Linked DNA regions of Caenorhabditis elegans. The protein of the gene in region 2 interacts with the protein of the main gene of each other region in a pairwise test. Each region holds a gene or a part of one and is shown on either strand. Other genes may lie near its edges. The genes, in order: blmp-1, tbx-9 and hlh-25.

Region 1 (10,441 bases), on a different chromosome or scaffold from region 2:
AAAATCTTTCCCTTTTTCTTGGATCTCTCTTTGATTTTTCCTTTTCCTTTCTCGAATCCTTTCTCCTATTTTCCCGATGTTTAGATGCCGTTTAATCAGATCCGAATGAATTTTTATTTTTCGATTTTCATAGTGATAGTGAAATGCGGGAGTGAGTAAGAGAGACTTTCTTTTTAAGACTGGATCTTCTTGTTTCATGGGAATTCCATCACTTTTCATCGCACTTTTTTTTATCACTTTTATCACTTTATCTCGACACGCTCAGATTTTCTGCCATCAAATAGAGTTTTTTTTTAATTTTTGGAAAAGAAGGTTACAAATACTCAATAAAAAGAAAAAGAAGATACAGACGGTTTGTGACGTTCCAATCTGTAAACTAAACTGTCTGTTGCCATTAATTTGTACTCGCAAACGTTACACTTTTCTTTCTGAATTCTTTTTCTTAAATGTCACACTCCTATTGGGATTCTTAGTGTTTTTTGGCTTTTGTGATAAATAGGCACAGGCGTCTGTTTCTGCCTTAGCCTGCCTAGATTATAATTTTGGTGTACTTCACCAGTTGTAGGTACGAGGCAGGTATAGGTGGAACTCTGACTTTTCCCAATGAATTTATTTATTGCTATAAAAACCACTATTTTGTTTTGCAATAATTAGAAATGAAAAAAAACAGTAATTTCAATTCTCGAAATATGAGCAAAGTTTTGTCAATTTCTGTTTTGTGGTTATTTTTTGTGCCCTTATTTTCAACATTCTCGAAATTAAAAATTATTGAAAATTTCAATTTATAACCCATTGAAGCCATTAACAAATTATTTGAAAAGTCTTATGCAAAGCTTCAAGGCATGCCTGTCTACCTACAAGATCATCGACGTCTGCGTTCGTTCGCCTCTTCAGTTTCCCTTCTCTCACCCTTTCAGCTGTCGAGGTGAAGCCTGAAATTCATCTGGATCTCACAGGATTTTTTTGCAAAAAAAATTGATAGCTGTAAAATTGCGGTGAGACGACCTTCTCTCTCCAATTTCCTCCTCCTCCTCCAATGATTCTCGTATTCGCTTTTCGGGCGATTTCACCTTCGTACCAGTCGGTACAGGTCGGTGCGCGCGCTCCACCTCTCTCTCTCTCTCATATACCGATTTCTTTTCCGCAGTTTTCCATTGCGATTCTTTTACCACCCATGAGAAGAAGAAGAAGACGTAGTAGTTGTTGTAGAAGATCTTCGAGAGAGAAAAGACATTGTACAACAACTTGACCCCCAAAAATTGTGTTGAACAGCAGCAGCCAGTGCCCTAAAGAAAGAAGGTGAAGGAAAGAAAAGGAAAATAAAAACGAAATGAAGATGAGATTCTCAGGATGATGAGGGCAGGAAGAAGAAGGTGTTATAATAATTATTGAATGAGGGAGAGAGACCTGTCAATTTGAAGAAATTTAATGAGAATTTCCTTGACACAGGCAGCAATAATTGATTGAATTTGGGATTGTTTGTTCAAGGATTTGAGAAATTTCAGAAATACGTTCCATTTAGTCTCGGTGATGCCTATTAACTAAATATCTGTCTTCACGGCGACCCACCCATGCCTACTGCCAAACTATGTGCACTTTTATTCCAATAATTAATTAATGAGTGAATTCACATTGTCCAAACAACGAAATCCGGAGTTAAGAATTAAAATAAGCGGTAGGCAGGCGCGCAAGCAAGTAGACATCAGGTAGTTATGCACTCCAGGTGACGTGGAAAAGTTATGGAACTTAAAGTTAGGATATCTGAGACATTTTTTTTTCTTGCCTGACATTGGTTGGTTTTATCACCGATCTATAGTATTGGAGCACGACGGTGACACCTTACATCTTACAAGCATCGTTTCAGAGTAACAAAATTTAAGACATCCTGCCAAAACATTTTCGATCTAATCCATAAATTGACAGCACTTTTTGCTCCTAGAACCTTAGAAAAATTCACGACTTTCGTGGTAATTTATTATGCCGTCACAATTCTAAAGATTCCTTTCTGGTCAGCTACAAATTATGACATCAACCAAAAACTCTGAAACTGGTATTATCATTCACCTGACGAATGTCTTTGAAGTTCCGAATTGCATCCCTTTTACCAGATTCTGGATCGAGTTAAGTACAGTATCTAGAAATCTAATTCAAGTAAACCCTGCCATTTCCACCACGCAAAGCTGTTTTGTTTTGAATGTTCAGTTTCTAAAACCGTACACATTTCCCTTCTCTCTGCTTCAGGCCTTTCAATTTCCCTAATAGCCATTCGAATGCCAAAAGAAACCAAAAGCTTTTGCCCCCTCTCCGACGGCGCGTTCCCTTCTTTTCTCCTTCTTCCAACAAACATTGGCTAAAAGAGACGATCCTCTCCTCGAATCACTTTGGCGGATCTCTACAGGCCCGATATGCAAGAACAGGTTCAAGGGGAAGAAGAAGCCTCTCTGTGTCGTCGTCGTCGTCGTCCAGCAGCGTCCATTATGCAAGAGAGTGCGCGAACAAATGGGGGGAAACCGGTCCCTTTCTCTGATTCTCTGATCCTCTCTTCAATCAGTGATCTCTCTTTGCTGTGTACAGCCATACCTCACACTCTTCGGAAGAGAAGAAGACCACCGTCGAATCCGAATCCATGGATGAATGGTCGTTGCGCGCGCGCGAGCGACAATTCTCGGGCGGCGTCATGACTGACCGTGACTCTGCATCTCTGAAATTTCAATACTATTTATTATCCTTTTCTACCGTAATCCATTCTCTCACTCTCTTTGCTTCCAATTCGTCCCATCCAACAGTAGTAGCAGCAGCTATTTTCTCGCTTTTCCCCCTTTTGTACAAACTCTTATTATTCATCTCCTCCTTTTTATGAACGATCTTCCTTTACAATTTTTTTAGTACATTTCAAATTTGATTTCATATTTGCCAAGCTACCGTATTCTTTTCCCAAATCCCCACATTTTTTTGTTTGAAAGTTGTCGGCTCCTTTTCTGAATTCTGAATCACACGTGTTTCAAATGAAAAAGACAAACAGATCTGACCCCGCCTCGCTCTTTTTCTTCTAAACTTTTAACTTTTTTTTCTCACCCGTCACTTTTTTTGAAAGTTGCCAATTTAGGTTTTTTATACAAGCTCTGGAATTTGTGCCCGCGGTGATGGGAATTTTCGAGGTTTATGAACAAAAATTATGTGAACAAGCTTGAATTTTTCTGAAATATTAAAACAATCTTCAAATGAACTTGTTTGGTTTTCAGTTCTCCGGCACATATTCCTGAGCAACTCCCGTAGGCTTGAAATTAAAAAATTAAGTTTTTTCAAACTTAGCCAATTGTTTTAGTTTTTATTGTTTAATACGAATTATTGGGAGTATCTAAAGCAATTTGATGCAAAATCCCCACAAGTCATAGTCCGTCTTTAAGGGTATTCCCTATATTAGTATTAAATCGGACTGCTCACCTTTTCAGCTAATATCTTGGTTTTTTGTTTAGATATCCGAAATTGCACAACTGCAGAAATATTGAAAATTAGTCCGCAAATGTTTTTATAGTTGACAGTTTTTTGATACAACTAAAGAGAACCGAGATATAAGCCGCGAAAGTTGAGCAACGAGGTTACTTGTTGGATCGACAATATGCATACCGTATTCCCTTGACATCTTAAAAAAGTTTCAATTCAGAAGCTCAACTCTGAAATTAACTTGGAATTGAAAAAAATTGAGCTATTGAACTACTGCCTCTTCAGATTTTTCTTGAGACGTTGACGCCTGACTTATGCCTGTCTACCTCTTATATTCTGTAATTTAGGTTTTCGTTCAGTTCTTGTTGACTTTTTCAGTAGGCAGTATTGAAGATAGGTAGGCAGGCGCACATCCCGGACGCCTTAATAAGTTCCTCCTTTAAAAAAAACATTAATCTATTATTGCACAACCTCCCATCATCTAACCCACCTACCGTAATCACCAACTTTCCCTTTTTGCTCTTCTTAACTCTGCACTCTCCTCGGTCACCCAGCTATTTCACCCCAATTCTTCGAGTTCTTCCTTATCAAGGTCTTTTTGACAATTTCGGCGCCGTTTTCCTGATTCTCGCCCTCGCCTTTTCCCTCTCCGTGCTCTATTACTCTCTCGCTCTTGTTTTGAAACTTTTATTTGAATTGGTTCACTTTTAATTTGTCTTTCTTTTTGCCAAAAATTATTTTTATTTTACCAGAATCATGTTTTCAATTTCAGAAAATAAATCTCTCTTCTCTTTTCCTTCGATCTCATTTTAAACAAAACCTGTAAAAAATGGGTCAAGGAAGTGGGGATGACGGTGTTCCGCCGGCACCGTTCTCTTCGGCTGCTGCGGCAGCTCACTCACCACCTCATTCTCCCCTTTCTGTCGGCGTTTCTTCTGCTTCATCTGCCACGTCATCATCTTCCACACCGCCATCATCCACGTCACCTGCCGGAGTTTCAGCGTCAGGTAAGTTGTGATAGGATACTGTAACTCGGCCCCCTTGGCAGCCATCCGTGATCTACATTTGCGAAGAAATCGAATCAGCCAAATTCGTTTTTCTTCCCTCCACTTCTTTTTTTTCCTTTTCGGATTTCTTATCAAATTTCAATGCCGCCAAGCTTATCATCGCCGCGCTATCACTTATCATCAAAATGTTCTTTTCCCTCTTGAACTAGACGTGGACACCATATAAAAAAGAACAAATGAAAGTGAAAACAAAAAAAACAATCACTTCAAAATTTAAACCGAAAGAAAAAACTGTGAAGCTGTCATTTTATACAATGAACATTTTAATTTCAGGTGCGAGAAACGTTGAAACTGATTGGAAGCAGTCGGGAGATGAGAATCTTGCCGAATTATGTATATTTCATGTTCCAGACAAATCTGTTAGTTTGGTGAGTTCGTATTTTATAGTCTATAAAGTTTTAAAAACCGAGCCTGCCTGCCTACATGTATATTTCTCTAAAAAAATGGTTTTGGAACAAAAAGTTCTCTAGAAATTTGGAAAGTTCAAAACGTTCCATAGAAAGTTTGAGATGTGCACTAAAAAGTTGCTTTTTTGCCGACCGTTTTTTTGCCAGGACTACAAAAATAGTATGAGAAAGTTAATATACATCGAAAAAAACCATTTCAATTTTAATTCCATTTATTTTCAGCCAAATCCAAAGCGAGCAGAATGCACACTTCCTATGAACCTAATTCTCAAGTCCTCCTCAAAAAATCGAAAGAAATCGTCAATATGGTCATCTGATCATATTCCGAGAGGAGTCCGATTTGGCCCGCTCGTTGGAGAAATTCGTTTGGTAGATGTTGACACAGCACTTGTATGTCCTGCTGAAGCATCAATGGCTGGAGGTGGTCCAGCTCAAGAAGATGTTCCATTTGATGAAGCTCCGGAAGAGTGGAAGATCTATTCTCCATCAGGTGGCAGATTGAATAAAACGATTTGTGTGAAAGATGATGCGAGATCAAATTGGATGAAATACGTGGCAGCTGCTGAAGAGGAAGATTTTCAGAATCTTGTTGCTGCACAAATTGGAAATGATATCTACTTTTACACAGTTAAAAAGATTGAAGCAAATACTGAATTATCATTTTGGTTCAGCAGGGACTACGCAAGGAAATTAAATTATTCAACAAGACCATACGTAAGAGTTCGAAGGCCAGCTACTCAACTGATTCCATCTGCACCACCAGCTTCTGCATCAACTGCAATTGCGAGTTTAGCAGAAACAATTGTGGCAATTGATTATTCAGTTAAAAAACTCATTGAATCACCCATTGATACACTCTCTACTGATGCTTCTTCTGCAAGTGACGAAGAAATGATTGATGTTGAAGAGCAGGAGAGCTGTACACGGCCTGTTGCAGAAGTCACACGGCCTAATGTTATCCAGAATCCAGTTGTGAGGCCTGTTGCAACCAAAGTCAATAATTTCCCGGGAATACCCGTTCGACTTGGCAATTTTTATGCAAGTCCGTTGGTGGATTTTAAAGAGTTCATGAGGAAATCCCTTCAATTAAGTGAGTTTATTAATCCCACTCTGAATCTCTGATAAGCTGAAATTGAAAATTTTGAAAATGTAACACTTTTTTTTGAAGTTTTTTTCACTGGAGATGCAAAAAGTTGCTTAACATTTTGTTAACAAAACTTATCAGAAACAGCTAAAAACGCCATATGTCCTTGATGGGGATTAAGCTTCTGTCGACAAACAAGATACATTTGTATACTTTTTTTTTGTTTTTAACACATCAACTTAAGTTTAACAATATTTTCAGTTTGTTAAAATTGTTTCCTCAATCAATTAAATTATCAAATTGTTTATGCTTTACTATACTTTTTAATTAGTGATCTACCTGTTTTCGGATTTTCGGCAGCTTTTATCCCGTGCGGATGTGGTTTTATCAACGGAAAAGTTTTCAAAATACATGTTGTATGTTTATTCATAATTTTATAGCTTACTGTTAACTGCTAAGTTAAAAACAAACTGGGGCGTCCTAAAAAGTCCTGAAAACAATTGAACCCTATTTCAGAACTAGTTGATACCTCAATGTTTGTGTCCCCTGTTGCTCAAACAACAGCCGCAATAACTGCCACTGGTGGAAGATCCGGCCAGCCGATTGATGTGCAGCCAGTACTTGCAGCAACTGCAGGAGCTCATTTTGGAAACTATGCAGCAATTTATGGGAGTCAAGATTTCCAGCATGAGCTATCAAAACCTCTGTACACATCTGCGTCTCCAGCATTCGGAGGTGGTGGTGGTATGGGTGGAGGATTTGGAATGGGTGGAAGTGCCCATACTTCTTCATTTCATCAACTTCCATTTGTTAATCATTCGTCTTCATCACACAATGATTCATCATTTAATGGAGTTCCAAATGTAAGTTTTACCAAAGAAGATTTTTAATTTGTTGAACTTGATGGTTGATGGGAAAATATTTTGAAACATTCTTTTTAAAAAACAGTTGATATTTAAATGTTTAATACTAGATTTTTTAATTTTTTTAAATTATATATTTTTTATAATTTTTGACCCTGCCTCTATTTATCTCTACCTTTTATCTCTACCTTTTCTATGTTGATCCCAATAAAATTAGCAAAGTTTTGATACATAAATCAATTGATTACCGGGTGCTTTTTTGTAAATCTTTTTCAAATCAGGGCGCAAGGAGGGCGATTCACACGCCTAGACCTGGTAAAATGTCTAGTTATTCCTTTTCATATTTTCTACATGAAAATAAATTTAAATTAAAATTTTTCAGTACGTGCAACAACAGGAAAATGGAAAAACGAGATACGCTTGCAAAGACTGCAACAAAACATTCGGACAGCTTTCGAATCTTAAAGTTCATGTCAGGTTAGAACTTTTCTTATTTTCCAATTATTTTTTTACTTTCAACATTTCAGAACGCACACCGGCGAACGTCCATTCAAATGTGAAATTTGCACAAAAGAGTTCACACAGCTTGCTCATCTTCAGAAGCATCATCTTGTTCATACCGGAGAACGTCCTCATCGCTGTGATATTTGTGATAAGCGATTCTCGTCGACTTCTAATTTAAAAACTCATCTTCGACTTCACAATGGTCAGAAGCCGTATACGTGTGATGTTTGTGATGCCAAGTTCACTCAATACGTTCATCTAAGACTTCATAAACGTCTGCATGCAAACGAAAGACCGTATAGTTGTGGAACATGTGGAAAGAAATATATTTCACCGAGTGGATTGAGAACTCATTGGAAAACAACTACATGTAAAGAAGAGGATATGAAAGACTCGATGAGGGATGATTTAATGGATATCAAAGGCGAAATCGATGAAGGATCAATGTCAGGGTCGGGTTATGGAAATCTGGGAATCTTTGAAAATACACTGGTAAGTAATGAAGATTATATCGAGTTATACATGTTCCGCCGTTTTTTACAAAATGGAAACTAAGTTTTAAAAAGTTGATCAAATTTTTAATACTGTCCAAGTTTAAGTCGACAACGTTTCCTCTAATAGTATTGACCCACTTTTCCTAACTTTGTAAGTTCATATCTTAGTTGCCTATGGTTTTATCGAAAAATTTCTAACTGAGAAAATATTGAATTTGTGAAACATTTGGAAAAATATCTTTAGTGGACCGAGATATGAGATGTCAAAGTAGAGTAAGTGGGCGCAAGACTAATAGAAGAAATACGGTCGTGAATAAATTTTTTTGCTCGAGTTTTAGTTTTCGAGCTTTAGAAGAAATCAAGTAAATTACTAACAACAGCTTTGCTTCTGCTTACATTTTCACTGCTTTCAGAACTCCGAACTCAAGCGGCCACTTATGCCAATCGAAACCATTTATAGTGTAAGCTTTTATATTCGGCTTCATCATGCATACAAATAAATATTTCTTATCTCACTTTCCCATTCTCATCCTACAATTTTCAGAAATACAATCTTCCCAACGCCTCCCTCCTCGGTCAAGGTCCAAGTGGAATGCAAGAACAACAGGCTCCACCACCAACATCTCAACAGCAGCAACACATGATGTATGGAAACACAATGGGACATATGGGACAAGGATCCCATCTTCAGGGGCCACCACCACCTCCACAACATTTCCAAATGGATCATAGTGGAATGCAGAATGGAGGAGGTATTCCACATCAACATCAACTTATTCAAGGAGGTCCATCATCTGGATCTGGTCAACAGCAACATCCACAACATAATGGGATTCATAGGCTTCCTGATTTGAAAAATCCCCTACTTCCAAGCCTCGGATTGCCGCATTATCCATAATTATCATATTTATAACTTTATGAAAACACTACCCGTCTCCCACAATCCAGTCATATCATTTGTACTTGAGCTTCTGTGTAGGAATTAATGCCTCCACTGCGTGCCTCACAGCACTGCCTATTTTGGTAGAATAACGCAAATTTCATCTGAAAAAAGTTAATGTGAGAATGTAGATATAGAAAGATGTTTGTTAAGTTCGAAAATTCATTTTATTTCTATATCCGGATATTTTTCTATATTTTAACATTAATTTTTTATTGAAAAAATAATTTAACCAAAATTAGCAGTTTTTGGAGTGCCTGTAGGCAGGCGTGTAGGCATTTTATACCTACACAAGAGCCCCTGCTTGCTTCTCCAGCATCTTAGCATTTTCATTTTTTACTATGCTACTCAAATATTTTCAGATCCCTTTTACCAGTTTGTTTATAAGCCAGGTAGAAAACAATTAGATCAATTTTTTTCGCAAAATCTCAAATTGTTCTTACACCTTCCTGCCCCTTTCTCCATCCTCCCATTCCAGAACGAGTCTCTCATAATATTAATTGTATTCAAAAACTTCAAATTCAAATAATTCCACAAAGAACCTGAGTTAAAGTTCAAATAGTTCGTTTCTCAAAATTATCAGATTTAATATAATTATTTTTTTGAAATCTTCCATATACACCGCCTAAACCTATATTATCTTTTCATTCTCTCATTGTCTCTTGCTTTATCAGTCCCCTTTCATTCTTATCACTGTCAAAATTTTCTATTTTTTATTCAACAATTTCCATCAAAATCTTCCGGCATTTCAACACACCTATCTGTGATCATACTTTCATTATATTTTTGCAATTTCTTTCTAGAAGTTGTTTCTATTTTCTAACTTTTTCAAAACAATATCTTGTCTAATTTTGTATGTATATATATAAACTTTGAAAACTTGATAGGATTACATACATACTAATTTTCTCGAAAATTTCCGGCAAATCGGCAAACCGGTGAGGTGCCAAATTTGCCGGAAAAACGGCAAATCGGTAAGTTGCCACAATTGAAATTTCCGGCAAATCGGCAAACCGGCAAAGTGCCGAATTTGTCGAAATTGAAAATTTCCAGCAAATCGGCAAATCGGTAAGTTGCCAGAATTGAAATTTCCGGCAAATCGGCAAATTGACGGAATTGAAATTTCCCGATTTGCCGTAATTGAAAATTTCCGGCAAATCGGCAAACCGGCAACTTGCCGGAATTGAAATTTCCCGATTTGCCGTAATTGAAAATTTCCGGCAAATCGGCAAACCGGCAACTTGCCGGAATTGAAATTTCCCGATTTGCCGGAATTGAAACTTCCGGCAAATCGGCAAACCGACAGCTTGCCGGAATTGAAATTTCCCGATTTGCCGAAATTGAAATTTCCGGCAAATCGGCAAACCGGCAAAGTGCCGAATTTGTCGAAATTGAAAATTTCCAGCAAATCGGCAAATCGGCAAGTTGCCAGAATTGAAATTTCCGGCAAATCGGTAAATTGACGGAATTGAAATTTCCAGCAAATCGGCAAATCGGCAAATTGCCAGAATTGAAATTTCCGGCAAATCGGCAAATTGACGGAATTGAAATTTCCCGATTTGCCGTAATTGAAAATTTCCGGCAAATCGGCAAACCGGCAACTTGCCGGAATTGAAATTTCCCGAATTGGCGTAATTG
Region 2 (10,441 bases):
GGCTGCGACTCGGCAGCCTTGTCCGGATCGCCGATGTCGCGATGCAACCCGATTAGAAGAGGCATCCCGCTGTTGCGTTGATTGACTTCTCTCTTTATTTCTTCCGTTTGACGTGATCTTTTTAATACCACCGACATGGTTATCTCTAATAAATCTTGTAAGGCATGTTTTGATGTTCTTAGGCATGCTTAAGGGGGTTTGAAGGCAGTAGTCACGCGTGTAGGCACGAGGCAGGAGTAAGTCGGCTTGTAGGTGGCTGATAATTTTGAAATTGTTGCATGTCCTGCACAATAATGGCCTACGTTTTTCTGGTCTCTCTGAATATCCCACGCAACAATATACAGGCAACAATCAGACAAAAACCTTGATATTCAGAGTCATACGTATTTATATTATCTGGCGATTCTAGCAACTTTAAAAACCTGGGGTGTCGTTTCATGGCCGTAAAGTTATGTTTCTACACACAAAAATTGAAAAAAAAAGCATCTGGAAAATTATGATTTTAGTAAGTTTTTAAAACTGTAGAAGGTAGGTGGCTGGAATTTAAGAGTCTTGTAATTTCAAAGCCACCGAGAGAACTTTAACGGCCGCGGGGAAGGTGTGACACTCGTTTGGGGCAACTCCATGAAAAGGCGTTACGTGGACATAAAAGTGAAAAATTTTCCACTGCAAATCCGAGCTGAAGAGCTGTGTAATTTTTAGGCCACCTCGACGAAGAAGGTCTTCTTAACAACAAGAAAGGTACCTTATCCCAACATTCACCCCTTTGATAAAATCTCCGATGAGACAAGTCAATCAATCTGGGCACGGCTCTCGTGCAATGCCCAGTGATGCAATTCCCGACCGGACATATAAGAAGGAAAGGCCTATTTGTTGGTTTGGTGATTAAGATCTGCACAAGTGTTGAAGATGATGTGGTACTGTAGAGGAAGTGGTGATAAGTCTAACTGACATCGGGCCTCCTTTGATTTATTAGGGTCCCGTGGAGATTGGGCGAAAATCTGTCATATACGGCCGTGAAACTTGGCACCAGTTCAGAAAAATTTCTAGGCAAAGTTTTCTCTTCTGAGGAAATTAATCCATTCACTCTTCGTGGTGATCAGCGTATTTTCATTATGCAACCACATAAAACGCGCACCGCCCGTGGTGCGCCAGACGTACAGTTGCTCCAATTTACAGCGGCAGGAACACACACACGCGCGAGTCGGCTGATGACGTCATTTGGAGTAGGATCACTTTCAGAAGTTAGTCCACGCAATTTGAACGGAAGCTCTTTGTGCTCGCGGAGCAGTGGAGGTACATACGGACTTTTGGTGGAACCATTGTATCGCGGCGGCGGTGTCAAAAAGTTGCGAACTAATGAAATTTATAAAGTATTGTAAACATTTTTCTGTTAGTTGGCAATTTTTGATAACGTTACTAATTGTCAAGTTATGCCCGTGAGAACCCAATTGAGCAAGCAAATAATTTTCAAGGATGCTCTGATTTGAAGGATCATAACTTTCCTCGCAATAGTTTAATCTAAAAAGTGTCAACTAACAATATGTTAAAACATTTATGTACTTTATTTATTTTATAGTTGACAATTTTTGGGTAACACTTTCGGGTGGCAAAGCATAGGCTGTAAAACACAAAGTTGATTTCTTAAGACTTTTCTGCTTCAATGCCGCATAACTCAGCTCACAATAACTGAATCAAAAAGTTGTCAATTAACAAATAGTTAGAAACTTTATGAATTTTATGTTGTTAGTAGATGACAACTTTTTAATAACGTCATTTTTCGCAATGTTATTTCGTTTTTATCGCAACAACTTTTATTTGAAATTTTTTATTTCCACTCAAAATTTCTTTCTAGCAAGAAACAATTCTAGGTGAGAACACAGATACATATCTTACTTTCTTTGTTTGACATAGACACCAAAATAGCTGCACATGATATTTTCAGCAAAATTAGACAAAACAATGAATGTCAGCACTTTGTTCTCGCCGCCACGTGGCAGACACGCGTACAACGAGGAGTTCGCACCTGTGGAGGAGGATATACATTTAATTAATAGGTATGGAATTGAATTAATAAATTTAAAATTTTATTTTGTTAGGGAAGGAATGTGATTTTTAAATTTTTTGAACAAGTGTTTTAGTGTTTTTAAAAACATTTTAAAAGCAGGAAACCTCAATTTTTGTGTTCCTGGGAAAAAAAAATTCAGAACAACTAATCAGTGATTGTAAACCTTATCACCTGTATATCCATTGACGCCAACTAACAATTGTGGAGGTTATAAATCCGCCACGATGTTTATCGACCACCTGATTTAGAGGTACCCCCCGTAAAAACACCGACTCGGAGAGTTTTGGGAAGAGTAAAGTTTTACAGCTTTTTTTTTGGTGTTTTGGAGATCAGTCTTATTTTCTAGGAAAATGGGGCTAATGGGGTCGGAGAAATTTGGGTTCAGATAACAATTTGGGAAACGATTATCTCGAAAAGCTTCGAGTTTACCGAATAGTTGCCAACTGACAAAATATAGCTCTGGAAATTATGAACAATCAGTTAGTTGACAAATTTTTGATAGCTGCATCCACAAAAAAGTTAGACCCCGGAAAAAAATTGAGTTTTTTTTTGAAAGTTGACATCTTTTTGATAGCTTTTGGGAAGACGAATATATCAAAATTATCCTGACTTATAGACTTAAAAGGTTTGCTCAAAAATTGCTCAGAAATTTTAATGGATCTGCAAAATTTGGAGAGTTTTTCCTAATATTTTTGAGCAATGTTTTAGAACATTCGTTATGAAATTCGAATTTTTAATATCACTTTATGTCTAAAAATGCAAAATAATTTTGATCCGTTAACCAATGTTTTCTTTTATCCATTTTCCTTCAGCTACCAATTTTTACACCTCCAGTCAATACTGTCGGTGTTCTATCAAAAGAGCCCACTACAACTAACCGGCTCAAAAATTTTACAACGTATGCTCTTTTGGAGGTAACCGACAAAAAAGGGGTATACTTGGAAATGGTATATTATCTGGAAATAGAAGGAGGGTTTGAAGATGGAATAATGGGTAATTGTGGAAGGTATGAAAATGTAAAATGGTAAAATCTTTATTTTGAAACATTAAATAAAGTTATTTTTTTCAAATTTCGGTTTTTATATGGTACAAAAAAATTCAGTTTACATTAATTTTTACTGTCATTCTTTCTTGAGAAAAGTGATCTCAAAGTAAAAATATACAAAATCCATACTGTCGATAAGCATGGTATACATAGCATAATTCTTTAATTAATAAGGAAGTTGTATCATCTTTAAATTTTGAACATTTTTTGAAGTTTACATAAAACCAACATTTTCGGACCGTCTTCTCTATTTCTATGCCACATCAGAATTTGATCTCCCAATTTTGTTTTGAAAGTATACCCAACTCTTTTGATCTACCAGTCAGCCGCCAAGTCTTCCCAGAATCGATAGCCGAGAGGGCCACGCGCACAACCTGCCCGCCCTTGCAGAGGGGTGTGGTTTGGCAATGAGGTGAGATGGGGTGAAGATGTGCACAATTTCTCACTTCTTTGTCTTAAATCACCATTTTTTTGTGATGACATCTCTATCTTATCGTGTTTCTTATTTTTCTATTTTTTTGTTTTCTTATTTTTGAACGGCGGGGATATCTCAGACGTTATCTCAAAACTGGCAAGAGATACCAAATAGTTGTCAACTAACAAAATATTGCAAATTTTATCATTGTTGCTTTGTTAGTTAACAACTTTTTGCTAGATACCACCGTTTTTAAGTTAGAATAGTTTTCCCGCTCCTCCTTCTCACTGGTACCACACTCTAAGCAAGTGTAGCTGCCAAACCGGTGAGAATATAACATTATATCTTATACCATTTTCCAACTTTTTTTTTGCTGTTCGTTTTCATAATATATTTTAACGTTTTCAGACAAAAAATGTCCAAAGTCAAAGTATCAATCGAAGGATCCCAAGAAACTCTCTGGAAGATATTCCACGCAGAAGTCAACGAGATGATTGTCACGAAGAACGGCCGAAAGTTGTTCCCAAAGTTGGAATATATAGTCGAAGGGCTTGATGAAAACAAGCTGTATGCAATAATGCTCCAATTACAACCAGTTGGAGAAAGTCGATTCAAGTTCAGCGGTGGAAAGTGGCAGGAAACGGGCAAAGCTGAGAAGCAGGTCGACGCGAAGAAGATGTGGCATGCTGATGGAGTTCGGAAGGGAAGGTGAGTGTGACATAGGAATTGGAAGATTAGAAGCTATGAAGATTTGTAAACTGACATGATTATCAAAATAGTGAGAACCATTTTGTCAATTGGCAACTTTTTTTAGCTCCGCCCTGGTATTACAACTTCAAAGCGCCATATCTCAGCGGGCTTGGAAGTTTTAAAAAAGATGTTAACTGGAAAATTGTTAACTGATTTATCATCTACAATTTGCCAGTTGACAACTTTTTTCTAGCTTGAGCCATTGAAGAGTTAGAGCTGCCGACACTGGCATTCAAATGCCTTTGGAATATTTTGAGGGTTACATCTCATCTAACATTAAAGTTTTCAAAGTTTGTCGTTTGTCAACTGACAACATAATTCAGATGAAAATAATTCTAAATTTGCTAAATTTATATCTTCAAAGTAACCCCAATTAATTTCAGTGACTGGATGTGGAGTTCGATTTGCTTTGATCGTGTGAAAATCTCCAACTATTCAGAGTCCAACAACGCTTCAATGGTAGGATTTCAACTTTAAAATTACTTGGCAATTTCCAATTTAAAATTGAAATTTCAGATTTACCTCAACAGCATGCACAAGTACATTCCAGTGCTGACAATCTACGAGTCTCCATCGGAGAGCCCTTTCTGCGTCCCACAATCCTCAAACCAAATCGTCGCCACCGCCAAATTCCCTCATACCGAGTTTATTGCAGTAACGGCTTACCAGGTTAGTATTGAGAGTAAGAGTATTAGCGCATGGATCTTATCTCGGAAGAATCAATATTTTGTGAACAATGGGAAATCTGGGAAGGAAGGGGGAAGTCTTGTCAACCATCATACTTATCAAGAAGTCGTTAACTAATAATTTGTAACCCTAGTTGTAAAGATTAATTAGTTAGTTGACAAGTTTTTAATAGAGTTAAAAGAAGGAGAGTTACACTTGCTCAAAATTTGGCTCTATTTATAAATTTGAAACTGCGCTACTTTAAGCACTCCTACCTCGCCAATAAAAAGAGCTATATAAAAGTTGTCAACTACAAAAATATTGCTCGCTTTGTGATCCATAATATGGTGTTTAACAATTTCTTAATAGATTCTTTGTTTTCAAAGATAGAGAGAGTTGAATAATAAACCTAATTTTTCCTCATTTCAGAACCAAAAAATCACCGACTTGAAAATCAAGCACAACAGTTTTGCCAAAGGTTTCCGTGACGGGAACTTGAGTCGCAAGAGAAGATCACCATCATATTCCGACGGCAGCAACTCACAGTCCCCATCGCCAAAATCCAGATCACCACCGGAGGTCGCACCTCTTCAGTCGATGCCTCCAATCAACCCATTTCTTTTTTATTTTCCCCATATGTTATCTGAAAATCTTCCAGTCCAATTTCCATTCGCTTTTCCATTTCTCTCGCCTCTCCCGTCGACTCCTTCCAGCTCGAGCAGTGAGCTGAGCATTGTGAAGGAGGAGGATCAGGAGGTAGAAGAAGATATTGATATTGTTGGTTGATAATTTTTATGCAAACTGGTCGCTTTTGATATCATGTAATCAAAATTTTTAATATATAAATATATAAAGCTTTATATTTTCAAAGAAACGACTTTTTGAAGACCCGCCGATTAAATTAGAAGTTTGTCGACTGAAAAAGGCAGCCTAGACTGCTAGCCAACAATTTTTATACCTACAATACTTAAAAATGTATTGTTTAAAGGAACACGTAGTTTTCTGAGTGGGTCTTGCCACGATCACAGTCATAGTGGTCGCTGCAGAACCCACATTTTTAGATTTGCTTATTTGATGTTGAAATGGAAAATTTTCAAGACATTACGAGAACACACAATTCTGAGGATGCGTATTGCGCAACATATTTGACGCGCAAAATATCTCGTAGCGAAAACTACAGTAATTCTTTAGAAGACTACTGTAGTCAAGGGTTCGACTTTTTGAATTGATGTTCAATTGATGTTCAATATTTTCCTCCTTTTCTTCTAGTCTGATTCATTTCAAAAATCGAGCTCGTAAATCGACACAAGCGCTACAGTAGTCTTTTGAAGAATTACTGTAGTTTTCGCTACGAGATATTTTGCGGTCAAATATGTTGCGCATTCTCATTAATTTTGTGTTTCCGTAATATTTCGTGCTTTGACTTCGTTTATTGTGATATCCACAAAGATATACTTGGCAAAATTGTCAACATAATCACGCAACTTTTCTTACAGTTCAAGGTTAAAATTTCAAGGTTTTCCAATAGTTTATTGTTGAATTAAAAGAGATAGAAAGTCCTTCCCTTCCAAACAAGCAAACAAACAAAAAAAACATTTTCTTAGCACTTCTCCTTGTCTTTAGCGGAAAGAATATCAAGAGTGACGTATGTCATATCATAGGTTCCACCGATCTTCTCCTTTGGAATCAAATACTCTGAAACACGCTTGCATCCGGCCTTCTTCACGTTGCAGTTGTGGGTGATTATGAGGTATGGAGAGATTGAGGTGATCTCGTCGTCGGATCCGGTAAGTGAGAACTCTCCTTCTTTGTTCGATTGCATTGAGGCGAGCTTGTCATCGGGGTCGACTGGAAAATTGAATACTAATAGTACGTTTGATAGCTTGTAGGTGTTGCAGAGAATTTTAAGGGTTTTTTATATGTCCTAGGAATATATTGGCAGCCTAAAGCTAGATGAGGTTTTTGGTTTTTTTTTTCTAAGCCACACATCAAAAGTCAATATTATAATTGCAAATTATGGATTCAGTTAGTTGTCAATAGCAGAAAAATACCAGCTTATTAGAGTTTCAAATAATTGACACGGTACAGGAAAAAATTGCCAGAAATCAGTGGTCGTGCTTTCTCTTTTCGCGGCCACGTGGAACAAAATGATCGAAAAGCGGAATAGACAGAAATTTGCCATATGGCATTCAAGTTGAATATCAAATTTCACATTTCGAATGATTTTTTTTTAATTTTTAGAATTTCCTGAATTTTCGTTTCAAGCTTGAAATTCGCCATAATTGTGGTTTTTTGAACATATATGCAATTTTCTTGATTTCTGCATCAAAATGACGATACCCGGTCTCGACACGACAAGTTTGTGTGAAATATGGAAATGTGTGCGCCTTAAAAGAGTACTGTAATTTCAAACTATTGTTGCTGCGATATTTTTATCGGTGTTCTTCATTTTGTTTTTCGCGATTCGGTAAAATTAAATTTTTGAATAAATAAATACATTTTTCTTATAAAAAAACGCTACGAAAAATCGATGAAAAGTCCGCAACAACAGAAGTTTCAAACTACAGCACTCTTTAAAGGCGCACATCTTTTTGAATTTAACAAAAATGTTTCGTGTCGAGACCAGGTATCGTATTTTAAGCTCAAAAATCGCAAAATTTCGTGTAAAGAACGTTTGGGGATGAATATGAAAATTTCAAATACAAATTATTGAGAAATCTCGTGTAAAGCTGTGCAATTCGGCTTTCTTTTGAAAACAGGTGGAAAACTTCAATTTTTAGGCCTTTTTAGTCCTTTTTAAGCCGTTTCAAGCTAAACAAGACTGAAAACTCACGAGTATCTTTCTCCCAAAGGGTAACCTCCGCCTGAATTCTCTTCTTATTACAAATAGTTGTACCCTTGACAGTGATAGTCTGCTTCTTTGCCTCAACAAAAGCCAAAGCCAAAAGAACAACAGAGGTGAATAGTAAAGCACGCATTGTTGTTTTTTGAATCGTGCACTAACGTTTTTTGTTTTATATACCGACAAAATTCAAGGGAATCAAAATGGGCGGAGCCTATCTGATGGTGAAACAGCGATAAGGCGGGGGGATCGTTTACACTAAACAAAAACATTTTTGTTTCGAAAAATTCAAGGCCATCGAATTGACCGTCGTCTCGAGACAGAAGAGGCGAGAAAGATGAATCATTATATTAAAAAATGATATTTTCCTACTAAACTTTTTTGGATGACGTGATGGCGAAAATGAAAACCGGATTCTCTTGCGCACGCCTATTATCAAAATTGCAGTTTCGTTCCGAAAAAAGGGTTGAATAAAAGAACCGTTTTTTTTGTTGTTGTAGAGAGAAAACAATTTGAAAAAAATAAATACAAAGTCGCGTACGCGTACAGGAATTTGGGGGGAGTTGGAAGAGGCCACACGAAAAGAGACAGTTAAAGTGAAGATGAATTATTGAGATACAGGGGTACTTTGGAAATGTGGAAGAGAAGCGGGAGGCTAGGCCACGGCGAGAAAAGTTAGGGTTTCAGGGTTTTTGACGAAATGTACAGAACACGGAAAAGTTGATATTACGCGGAAGTAGGGTTTGGCCAAAAAAAAAGGCAATCGGAAAAAATTGCAGTAAAATCGTAAATCGACACAGAGAGCCGTAATTTGTGGCCTAGCTTTCCCACTTCTTCCAGTTCAAAGGATGAGAGAATCAGTGAGCAAAAATGAGATTCAAATGTAAGGAGTTGTACATAAATTAATTATTTACACAAATTGAATACGTTACTTCAAGCTGAACATCATCCGCCCACACACGACGACTCCAACGATTCCAATGGCTCCAGCTGTTACTCCAGCGCCAATCATCGACCACCGTCTGTTCTGCTTCCGGCGTCCCACTTTTTCAGCTTCTGCTCGTTCGTAGTCCTCTTTCATTTGTTTTCCGAGTGTCATGAAGTCGTCCTGCAATTTTTTTCTTGATTTTTTATTTTCACAAATAATGCTTTAGAGCATATTCCGGGGAACACAAAAATCCGTGAATGCGTATTTCACAACATATTTGAGGCGGAAATATCTCGTAGCGAAAACTACAGTAATTCTTTAAATGCCTACTGTAGTCGATTTACGGGCTCGATTTTTGAAATTAATTTCTTTTGATTAGTGGTTATTTTCTTTAATTGTAAAAATTTTAAAAATTTAAAGAATTACTGTAGTTTTCTCTACTGGATATTTTGCGCGTCAAATATGTTGTGAAATACGCATTCTGCGAATTTTGTATTCCCGTAACAATAACATTATCATAAACAGTAATATACTTGAATATGTTTCCAGCTGTCCCCCCAAGAGGCTACCGAACCCTGTAATTATCGGCTTACCAACACCCCGGGAAGTCAAGGGTACTAGGGAAAGGGGGATATTGACTTCTAATGTCTATGCAAATACTCCTTACCCAGCTCCGATTGTGTTCCTTCCAGTTGTTGCGGATCCGCGTTTTGATGAACAGCGATGTGTAAACGAAGAGGTTTCGCACTTGTCCCTGCAGTTCCACGGATTCCATCATTTTTGCAGCTACGAAACCGCCGAACGAGATTAGACCTATCTGAAAATTAGAAATTTGCAATTTAATTCGTTCATTTCTGGCGGAAAATTAAGCTTAAAAAAACGATTTTTCTGGTTTTTAATGTTCGAAAATTGAATTTTTGGGGTTTTTCGTTCAGCAAATCAGCAGAAAAACCTGTTTTTCGAAGAAAAAAGTTCAAAAATCGAATTTTAATGTATTTTCCACAAATTTTACATTTAAAAACCGATTTTTGATAAATCAGCAGATCTTTTTCGCAAATACAAATCAAGGAAAATATGCTTTAAAAATATTCGAATAGAAAATAACGTTTTTAATCGAATTCGTAAAGTTTTCTGCTAATTTATCAACAAAAAAAATTACAATCCGGGATCAAAATTCGTGGTTTTTTAATGGAAAACTTTCAAAAAAGACACATAATTGGGCTATTTTTGACCAAGTTTTGCTGATTTCCTGAAGGAAAACAAACAATTTTTGCAAATGTTTTTTCTGCCACCTTTCTGGCGAATTTTCGAATTTTTGCAAACTTTTTTTCAGTATTTTCTCCCTTACCAAACGTCCATAAGACATTGGACATTGATCTGTCTGTGCATTTCCAACCGTCCGAACCACATCCTGATACAGTGAAAATGAGATTCTGGGCACTGCGAGCAGCTGCTCACAGAAGGTCTCAAAATTTTCCGCGTGCTTCTTCTCGAATATCGTTCCCATAACTCGCATCATTTCGTGCTCCGGTTGCACTCCACACGGCAATCCCGGTGCTCCAAACCATTCCATTCCGTTTTGCCGGATTCGGTGCGTGAAATAGTCGACCTGGAAGCAGCAGGAAATTTTATTTACAAAAAAAAATTAAAAAATTACCACAAATCCCTCGATATCAAGCCTTGGCTCTTCCCAATCATTGATTTTTCCATCAATTGACTCTCCGATG
Region 3 (10,441 bases), on a different chromosome or scaffold from region 2:
TATCGATTGTTCCTAATCAAGTTGAGCTTTATGCGTATCAACTTTTCATAATGCGAATAAATAATATGCAATTTTAAAAAGTAGAATATTGTCAGTGAGGATGTAGTTTAATTATACCAAAATAACCAACAAGACCGAAAAACACTCGAAATTTTAGATTGTTCTATTTTCAGTCAAAGCGGTTAGACAAACTGCCAAGTTTTCCAAAAATGCCTACTCTTTGAGAAATTTCATCAATTCTTCGCGTTCAAATTACAGCAATACAAACTGAGTTTGAGCCTTTAAAAAAATCTTCAATGGTTGTACACCACACTCCAATTCCGCATTGTTCATTCAAAGTTTGAAAATTCCAACTTTTGGCATTCTGAGTTTTGTGGGAAGTTGTGCAAATTCTATATATTTAGCTCCGAAGTGTGAACTTTCATAAAAGTGCAATGATTTTGAAAAGCGAACTCTGAGAACTTTGTTCAAAGTATTCAATGCTCTGCTCAAAATGTTCAGATTTCAATCGTGCGAAACAGAAGAATTTCACTTTGGTCTCAACTACCACGAGGAAGTACAACTTTTTCATTTTCAAAATTTAAATAAAATGAATTTTCTATTTCGAACTTTGTTCTCAAAAACAATTTTTGTAGCACGCATTTTTGTAAAAAATACTGTTATCATGGGGTTTTGGGGTTTTTATTGATCTCTAATGTTTCCAGAGGTTTTGTGAGTGCCCATATTTAGTGTATTTGAACTTTGATCCAATTTTATGCATCCATTTTTAGCTTTCTAGCTCCATGACACTGAAGCAAGTTAGATGTGTCCTTTTAGATAAACACTGAGAAAAGATTATCTGACTCCGCCTTAACCTTTCAGTGTGTTCTTGGACTCGTGAAAAAAATTTGTATAAAAGAGCAGAAGAGTGCTGAAATTACAAATTTCAACTGGAAAATATGAATCTTTTTCTCCTCGTCTGCATCGCCTTCGCCATTATTACTGTAACTAGTTTTACCCCCGATGAAAAATCTCAAAGGAGGAGAACTTGATCGAGCTCTATAAGCCCCTCCATCAAAAGACACGTGGATCCCGCCATGTTTTTTCATACAAAAAACATTGCGGAAGAAGAATCGTTTCTTTAGTGCAAGCGTGTGGAGATCCAGCCCCAGGCATGTTCTGTAGTTTAAAAATAAAATTTGAAGTTCTTTGGAGTAAAGAAGATAGGATCTCCGCGTTTTTGATACCAATTTTATTTTAGTTTTTAGTACGCCTGAAGTTTTTACTTTCAGACGACAGAATTGATCACGATCTCTCCATCGACTGCTGCACCCAGAATTGCTCATCGGAGTTTGTGAAAAAGATAATGTGCCCCAGCAAGCTATAGTTTTTTTATTAATTTTTTTGTAATTTTCCTTTTGATTTCCCCCAAACTTCAACATTTGTCAAAATTGTTTGCAAAATAATCGTGTCAATGCAGCTGTTCAACAGTTTAATCGTCTTTAATAAAATTATCTATTTTTCAATTTTCGTGCACCGAATTCTTCACAGAAAAAGGGCCAATCTTCCTACTTTTTCCGAAAGCTCACAGAGGAAGTTAACATTAAAAAAAAGAATTTCAGAAAAAAGAAATCACAAATTAATGAACAACTAATAGTTTCTAGTAGTTCAGGTATGAATTTGGAATTTGTTTCCAATTGTGGTTTCAAACAAGCAGTTTAATTAAATTATCTGTTCTTTCGCATTTTTATTATTATTATTGATTGAAAAATTATCTTCGAAATGTTTATTTTTTGGTACTAAAATAATTGTTCAAATAAAAAGCCTTCTTTTCGACACATGCTATCCCGTAACGATCATTTGTTCAAATATGGCATCCAGTACCTGTAAATTAAAAAATATGGAAAATAACTAGTTATCATGAAGTCATACCTTTGTCTCCATGTAATCCTTGGTGACTGAAAATTGGTCTGAGTTTCAACATCGCGAGTTGTGTTGTTCAACTTTTTTGCGACAACGTTGCACAATGCTCTAATGCAATTTTGGAATTTGATTACACAGGGATGCTGAATATTTAACAATTAATTTTTTTACAAATATAAATACTGATTAGCTCATGCAACCCATTCCAGGTGCCTTCACGGCAGCCAATGCATACTTTGTAAAAATGAAATGTATAAATATTCTAATGCAAAAACCAAGTCACTCTAGAGAAAAAAAACGTGCAAGAAAAACATAAAACAAACGAACCGTTCGATATTCGTCCGGAATTGTAGATATTTCCTTCTCATAACGGTCAAAGCAACCAACAATATTCTCCAGTTCCGCCTGTAACATTTGAAAGTTGAAAAACGTTTTGCAGCTTACCGCTTACCGTGCAAAAGCTAGTATTTGCGAAAACCCTTTGACATTCTTCGAACAAATCATTAGAAACTGATTTCAGTTTTTGCAGTGCTGTATACGTCTTTTCCTGAACAAGATTTCAGAATCAAATGTAAAAAAAATCAAATAATTACCTTCTCCATTTCCGTTTCAGAAATAGTCACCATAGTCAAGATTTGTGATTGGTTCTGCGAAAAATCAGATAAGGAAGAGATACACTTTTAATAATAGTTTTTATGAGAAATTTAGTCCTGTAAAATTATAAATACAATGTTTCACTCACCTCTGCAACTGCCTTTCGCTCGACCTTCAGCCGCTTTTTGCGTCCCATTGTTGTTGGTCGAGCTCTCTTGAAAAACTAATTTTTCTTATTAAATGGTTTTTATATTTTCAATTCAAAGAAATTGAACACGTGTTCCAAGTGTTTATTTTTAATAGTTGTGCTGACATTTTTTGAATTTTCTTTCACAGTTTCTTTATTTTTCAGGGTTCGTAAACCAAGTTGCCGGTTGCCGAACTTTTTTCGGCACTTTGGCAACTGTCCATATCAACGTCAAACATTTTGTAACTCAAAAAAAAACATGCAGAGAGCCTGAAAAAGCTAGAATTTCACTGTAAACGAAAAAAACGACCATACATTTTTCCAAAACGCTCAAAAATTTAATTTCGACAAAAAAAACTTTGAAACCTGGTTGCCGAAAAGTTTCCGAAGTTCCGGCAACCGGAAGTTGCTGGCTGCCGAAGTTTTCAGCGTTCGGCAACTTTGGCAATTGCCGGTTGCCGAAATTTCTTTAAATCTCGGTTGCCGCACAGTCCTGGTAAGAACGCAATTCAGTTCTATAATTTTTCTCCAATTGCTACGCATCTGTTCAAATTATCATGCACACTGTGCTGAAAATCTCAATATTGCTGTGTGTTAAACTTGAATTTATTATCTTGATGTTACTTTTTTAAATTTATTAATTTTCAATGAATCGGGATGCAAAAGATGTCTAAATAATGTTGAAAACTGTTGAAAAAAATTGGAGACCAATACGATTTTCAGCTGAATCTCTTCAGCCAACAATATCGATATCTTTCTCATTTTCTTCTATTTCCAGAGCGTCAATTTCGAAGCTGGAACTTGGGACAATAGGAATCTGAACTGTAGGCATGTGAGGAGGATAAAGTGAAAATTGATTGTATGAATTGAAAACTAATGGCGAATAAACTGGGAATACTGGGAGAAAAGGAAGTATTGGAAATGGTAGGCAAGGTACTGTACATGTGATCGACTTTCCACGAATCACTTCAAAGATGATTTCTAGAACCTTCAAATTCTCCATTTTGTCTCTGAAAAATACGTGTTTTTTAATTTATGGCCAATAAAATCTAAAACCTACATTTCTTCTGAGCTACTCAAATTATTCAATGCAATAAATTTTCTGAGCTCTCTGTACGCGGCAACTCTCTTATTTCGGCGAACTTGTTCCCGATCGCTTTTAATCTTTTTAATACTTCTAATTGGTCCAGGCGATGTTGAAAACGATTCGTGATGAAGTTGAATACCAGATAACAATTTCACAATACGAAATAGAACCTCTTCTTTTCTGAATAGACATTAGTTGAGAGTACGTTTTTTTTTTTTAAATAAAATAGTAGAAAACTTACGAAAGTTTTTCAGATTCCGATTTTTGAACGATTTTCTTGAATTCATTCAACAGATCATTAGTATCATCTCTTCTTTGTTTTTCTGTTTCAGATCGATGTCCATGTGAAGAAGGGGACCCAGATGATGACGAAGTTGGAGAGGAAGACATTATGAGTCAAGGATCTGAAATATAATAATAATAGTTAACAAAAGATTATTAGACAAAAACCGTAATAGGGAGACTACAAAATATGAAAGGCAGTTCAAATTAAAGACTTATGAAAACGTTGAAAAGAACCAACCTTACAGTTCAAGTATGCAAAAACATAATGACTACCTTCCATTATATGTTCGAGTTTTTTCTTCAATAGGCGGGGATTCTCATCGTTTGGAATATCATGGGAATCTGATATCCATACCTTTATTACGCGTGGTTCTCATGGTGCATCGAGTACCACATCTCCAGTTCTTGCCGTGGCAGCCTGAGAACCCAAGCAATGCGAAGGGTCACAACCTGAACGAAGTTATTGATTGGTGGGAAAAAATAATCCTGAAATGAATATTTGGTAAAATCGGAGCTCGATGGAATTTAAAAATGTAAATATATAATACAAAAGAAGAATTTAGAATATTTAAAATAAAAATGCATATTAATTAACTCAAATAATCAAATACATGAATTAGGTTATAGTATTTTTCCTTTACATGATAGTTTAAAATATTTATATCAAGCTGTTCTAGAAATGTTTTAAAAAACAATATCCAAGTTTAAAAAAATCTCAATTTATTTTTAATTTACGAGGTTTCCATCTCAGCGTGTGACACTTTTCTTATAACTTGGCACCTACATGTATCCGGTGTGAATTTTTTCTGTTGCTGTGTGAGCATTTCCAGCAAACCGGAGTTCTCAAAATCAGTAAGGTTATATGTTAAAATTAAACTGGCTTATTATTTTCAGAAAATGAAAAACTGCCATATTTGAGTGATAAACTGAATGAATCCGTAAAATTTGGTAGTTGTATGTTCTATGCATTATCATATACATCAATCTGGTAATTTTTATTAGAATCAGATCTTGAATATTGGAAACTTTGCGAATTAAAGACAAATAATGATTAGGCAAGCTGATTAAATGAGTGATAAAAATGGTTAATGTCAATTCACAGTCTCCGCCGAAATTTCCCAGGCTGTACCCAATCAATATCCAGTCGTGGCAAAACTGGAGATGTCCTGACTCGTTCTCATGAGAACCTCACTGATGAACCATGGGAACCCGTGATGGGGACTGTAAAAATAGAGATTTCAGAATAATTCCCATGGCTCCAAACGCTTGATACAAAGCTCCACCCTCTGAACAATAATGGAACTATAAAAGGTAACCATTTATTCATTGTTCATTTACTTTCTTAGTGGATCACTGGTCTGCTGGTTTAGTATACTTTTTGATAATTGTAACATCAGGAAAGTGTACTGATTTTGATCAATTACTTTTAAAGCATTCAGTGAACTGTATACTTCTAGAAAAACAGTACGAGTTATCTCACTAAACTAAATCAATTTGTGCTGCTTTCTTGGTCCCATTTATCTGTTTTGTCACAATTATTCCTTTTTAACGGCTCATCTTGAATTTTTATAAATTCTACATTTCTTATTGATTTTAAATTAATGAAAATTATTAAATTTCAGATGCCAAAAGTTATTCAGTCTTCAATGAGCGATTATCGTTCCGTCCCATACAATCAAACTCCAAAATCAGCTTCTGAACGGAAAAGAAGAAATATTACAAACGAGTTGATTAACGAATGCAAGACGATTGTTCAAAAATCAGAAGAAGAACATATATCGTAAGTTTAAATACTCTGTTAGCTTAAAATAGTTATTAAACTAATTCATTTTTTAGACAAGAAGTAGTTCTCTTCCGAATTGTGAAACTTGTGACTGGAGTTAATCTGGAATCTAATTTCTCATCGAATGACCTCTCCGAATCTACAAGACGGAAGTTTGATACTGAATCCGAAAGAAGAAAAGTGAAGACTGAACGTGAAAAGATTCGAAGAAAGAAACAAGATGACTGTTATGCTGAATTGAAATTCTTCATTTTGAACAAACAAATGGGAAGTTACGAGCAACGGTAAGAGTTTCATTATGGCTAATAAAAATTCAAAAAATTATTTTCAGATTAAAACTTGAACGGATCACAATTCTAGAAATCATCATTGATTACATTAAACACAATTCCGATCTTCTGTATCCAGAAACAATTCCCCAAATACTTCCTCTTTTAGCTGGAAAATCAACTGCTACTTGTGAGAACAAAGAGAATGAAAAGCCAAAAACACGAATGGAAGTGAAGGATCTCTTCCCAAGATTGACGTTTCAAGAAGTTCAAGAATCCCCAACATCTACTTCTCCATTGCTCACATTTCCATGTATTCCAATGATCCCAACTACTCAGTTCAATGTCTTGTCAAACTACAACACCGTTCCATCAATATTTTCTGCTCCCCTCCGATTCATTCTTCCATCACTTCAAATCTTAACACCAGAAACTAGTGACGAGGAAGAAAATGAAGAAACCCTCGATATAATTAACTAGTCTATCGATCTCCTGCAAATTTACAATTTCTGAAAAAAAACTTATTATACTCTATTCTAAGGCTGTCAAAACTTTCCTGGTTTTCTTTCATTATATTTTTCACATCCCCGTAATCTCAAATTATGCCACATTCACAATATCAACTTGTCATTGTTTCATTATGTCACCAAACTTTTTGAATGTTTATCTAATGCCAATATATTGAAAATGTATTATACTTATGATAAGCCAAATTCTAATAAATTGAAATTTTGTTTTCACATTTCAACATTAATTTGTTCATTCTTGCCACATACCAAACCTATTGACCTACACCTGAGTATTGTATTAGAGAATATTCAATGGTGCGCTCTTCAGAAAATTCAAAAAATTTAAACTTACGTCAAAGTTTTGTGGGATGTCCCATTCTGGAAAAAAAACACATAGGGAAAATTGAAAAAGTGGCGATAAACTTTTCCATACGGGGAAGTTCTAAAATTAAAGCTTTTCGATGTTTTCTTAAATGAAGCCGGTCAGCAGATTGTCGACATCATCCGGAAACATCCGATATTCAGTGAAGCTGGGACAGGATGTCATTTTTGAGGTTTTTTGAAAAATTAATAATCTTCCCTACTAAATCATTTGAAAATTTAATTTTTTCGGAAATTGCAATCATTTTAAAAATTAGTTTCTAAATTTCCCAAAAAAAGATAAATAAATAAAACCGAAAAAACTTTGATTTTCGCTGCGAGACCCGTAGATGGACAACAAATTATTTTGCCATTTTATGGGCGTGGCTTTCCCCTTTTTATAGAAAATTTTGGTTGAGAATGTAAAGGGGATGTGTTTTTTTGAAAATGTTCAAAAACAAATCTTTAGTTCTAACTTTAAATTGCGTAACTTTTTGTATTTAGAGCTCGGAAAAAATAATTAGAATGTCTCTATAATTTGCTAGTTGACAACTATGTAATTTTCTGAAAAAGTTGACAAAAATTGTTTGTTTGAATTTTTTTTTTTCATTTTTCACAATTTTATAGAATTCTCTTGTTTTTGAGTGTAATTTTTGAATACAAAATTGAAAAAAAATCTAAAAATGTTCTGTAGAAAGTTGAATTAACTTAAAGTTCAAGGAACCGAGTGGGCGTGGCCAAACGAGACTCCAAATTCCGCTGGGCAGTTTGTAGTGGGAGTTCAGTTTTAAACTATTTTTTCGAGCTTTTTAATTTGAAATTTTGATTTTTTTGGAAATTGCAATCATTTTAACAAAAATTAGTTTCATAATTTCCCAAAAAAAAAAGATAAATAAAAAACACCGAATAAACTTTGATTTTCGCTGCGAGACCCGTAGATGGACAAACAATTATTTGGCCATGTTATGGGCGTGAGTTTCCCCTTTTTATAGGAAATTTTGGTTGAGAATGTAAAGGGGATATTAGAATTGTGTTAATTTATATTATATATATATATATATATATCAGAATAAAAACAATTTGAAATAATTTTGAATCAACAGTCCGGATTTTTGAAAATCTCCTTTTCTAGTTTATGAAGTTAATTTTATTGCAGAAAAAAACAAGAAAAACTTTTTTTGAACGTGGACTTCAAAGATGTGATAACGTTGTGTTTAAAAAAGTTCGTCAACGACAAGATCAATATTTTCCGAAAATCCATAAATAATTTATTTTCAAATCTATTCTCGTCACGAGATGACGGAGGCTCCCGTTATTCAGCTAAGTATTGACTATAGAGTTCGTCGTTACAAGGTTTTCAAGAAACTTGAAGATGGTGAATTCGGAGCAGTGTATGCTGTGCGAGATGATGCTGGAGAGGAGCATGTTTTGAAGGCTCAGTTGAATACCAAGGAGATATATGTGAGTTAATACTGTCGAACCATTAAGCAGAAAATGTTATTTTTAGTCGCTGAGAATTGAGCTTTGTGTGATGACAAAGGTATCTGAGAAGTCGCCCAGCCACATGCCTACTCTCATTGGTATGTAGTACACTTTTGTAGGTAACCGTAACCCCATCTTTCAGACAAGGGACGCCATGACAACTTTAACTATATTGTCATGAAGCTTCTTGGGAAATCCCTGCAAGATGCTATAAAGACTGGGCCTGATGGTCATTTGACATTTGGGCTCTGCGATTGGGGCATCGTTTCAATGCTTGGAAGCATTGGAAGATTTGCATTGGAGTGGGTTCTTGGACAGAGATGTGAACCCTGGCAACTTCTATCTCGGAAGAGCAAGCCAAGGCGAGCTTCGCAACATTTTTGTTCTTAGATTCGGATGTTGCCGAAAGTATGTAGATCGCGAAAATTTGATGCTCGAGCCAAGAAAAACTGTGCCATTTCGTGGAAGCCCTCGATATGCACCGCTTGCATCACATAATACGGCGGAACATGGACTGAAGGACGATTTGGAAAGCTGGCTAGTTTAATCAATTTAAGAACTAGTCATTTATGTGATATATTCTGTAAAGATGCCAGAAGGCCAGATTGGGTTATCACTTAGAATTGAAAATAAGAATAATAGTTTTTATTTGAGAAAATGTGTTTTTCTAGGTTCTACATGCTCGTCGATTTCACCAATGCAGCTCTTCCCTGGAAAAATGTAAATGAGATTGGCGAGATTGGTGCGATGAAGAAGAATTCCCGCTTCCAACCGATCATGGGCCAATTCCTTGCTGGCTGCCCAGATGAATTTCGCTTGATTATGAAGTGAGTCTCTACCAAAGCTGATTTATTCGTAATTTTCCATTTCCAGCTATATCGACAGTCTTTCGTTCTTCAAGGAGCCCGATTATGAGATGATCTATACAACACTGCAAAAAGTGATGCTAGACAAGGACATTGAAGAGTTTCCGTATGACTGGGAGATGGAATTTGGTGTGGACTAATGGAACTTTGATTATACATACTTGTCTTGCTTGTATTCTGGCTAACAAATTTTACCGAATAAACATTCATTTTCAAACAGAATAATTTAGACAAGACTATCACGTGAGTAGTAAAAAATCTTCAAAAATAGATTGCGACGCGATGGGATGAAAAAGTTCGGGAATATTGGCCATAGAAAGATAAAAAAATGAATCAAAAACGCAATATAGACAATGAAGATTTTCGAAAAATTGCTCAGAAACTAATTGTAAGATCTGGAAGAACTTGATAGACTAGTTACTAATATCGACGGTTTCTTCATTTTCTTCCTCGTCACTAGTTTCTGGTGTTAAGATTTGAAGTGATGGAAGAATGAATCGGAGGGGAGCAGAAAATATTGATGGAACGGTGTTGTAGTTTGACAAGACATTGAACTGAGTAGTTGGGATCATTGGAATACATGGAAATGTGAGCAATGGAGAAGTAGATGTTGGGGATTCTTGAACTTCTTGAAACGTCAATCTTGGGAAGAGATCCTTCACTTCCATTCGTGTTTTTGGCTTTTCATTCTCTTTGTTCTCACAAGTAGCAGTTGATTTTCCAGCTAAAAGAGGAAGTATTTGGGGAATTGTTTCTGGATACAGAAGATCGGAATTGTGTTTAATGTAATCAATGATGATTTCTAGAATTGTGATCCGTTCAAGTTTTAATCTGAAAATAATTTTTTGAATTTTTATTAGCCATAATGAAACTCTTACCGTTGCTCGTAACTTCCCATTTGTTTGTTCAAAATGAAGAATTTCAATTCAGCATAACAGTCATCTTGTTTCTTTCTTCGAATCTTTTCACGTTCAGTCTTCACTTTTCTTCTTTCGGATTCAGTATCAAACTTCCGTCTTGTAGATTCGGAGAGGTCATTCGATGAGAAATTAGATTCCAGATTAACTCCAGTCACAAGTTTCACAATTCGGAAGAGAACTACTTCTTGTCTAAAAAA

What was found.
Region 1: the proteins of tbx-9 (region 2) and blmp-1 interact in a two-hybrid assay, tested with the Caenorhabditis elegans proteins (one large-scale study listed by BioGRID).
Region 3: the proteins of tbx-9 (region 2) and hlh-25 interact in a two-hybrid assay, tested with the Caenorhabditis elegans proteins (one large-scale study listed by BioGRID).

The regions. Positions count from the first base shown.
Region 1 is NC_003279.8:10,405,086-10,415,526, forward strand, and holds blmp-1 (B lymphocyte-induced maturation protein 1 homolog), read left to right. Parts: upstream 1-4,216; 5' UTR 4,217-4,273; coding exon 4,274-4,451; intron 4,452-4,784; coding exon 4,785-4,879; intron 4,880-5,140; coding exon 5,141-6,008; intron 6,009-6,518; coding exon 6,519-6,865; intron 6,866-7,247; coding exon 7,248-7,342; intron 7,343-7,392; coding exon 7,393-7,861; intron 7,862-8,276; coding exon 8,277-8,324; intron 8,325-8,407; coding exon 8,408-8,761; 3' UTR 8,762-9,688; downstream 9,689-10,441. UniProt on the Caenorhabditis elegans protein: Transcription factor which binds to enhancer elements in the promoter region of genes. Regulates the expression of the transcription factor bed-3 to control vulval development.
Region 2 is NC_003281.10:10,335,354-10,345,794, reverse strand, and holds tbx-9 (T-box transcription factor tbx-9), read left to right. Parts: upstream 1-3,936; 5' UTR 3,937-3,943; coding exon 3,944-4,236; intron 4,237-4,661; coding exon 4,662-4,737; intron 4,738-4,794; coding exon 4,795-4,947; intron 4,948-5,373; coding exon 5,374-5,730; 3' UTR 5,731-5,789; downstream 5,790-10,441. Other genes in the region: ttr-15 (Transthyretin-like protein 15), read right to left, coding at 6,545-6,792, 7,778-7,922; Apoptosis regulator ced-9, read right to left, coding at 8,715-8,894, 9,382-9,531, 10,063-10,323, 10,372-10,441. UniProt on the Caenorhabditis elegans protein: Transcription factor. Involved in the control of early morphogenesis of the intestine, hypodermis and body-wall muscle. Involved in regulating expression of vab-7. Appears to have partially redundant function to tbx-8.
Region 3 is NC_003280.10:5,529,563-5,540,003, forward strand, and holds hlh-25 (Helix-loop-helix protein 25), read left to right. Parts: upstream 1-5,676; 5' UTR 5,677-5,677; coding exon 5,678-5,835; intron 5,836-5,891; coding exon 5,892-6,122; intron 6,123-6,169; coding exon 6,170-6,587; 3' UTR 6,588-6,843; downstream 6,844-10,441. Other genes in the region: C17C3.9 (Coiled-coil domain-containing protein), read right to left, coding at 1,836-1,863, 1,912-2,045, 2,230-2,307, 2,354-2,449, 2,496-2,549, 2,645-2,692; hlh-26 (Helix-loop-helix protein 26), read right to left, coding at 3,417-3,693, 3,744-3,950, 4,012-4,160; C17C3.11 (Protein kinase domain-containing protein), read left to right, coding at 8,273-8,437, 8,484-8,556, 8,601-8,848; hlh-27 (BHLH domain-containing protein), read right to left, coding at 9,738-10,155, 10,203-10,433. UniProt on the Caenorhabditis elegans protein: Probable transcription factor. Modulates lifespan and also recovery from the developmentally arrested larval state known as dauer, perhaps acting upstream of phosphatase PTEN/daf-18.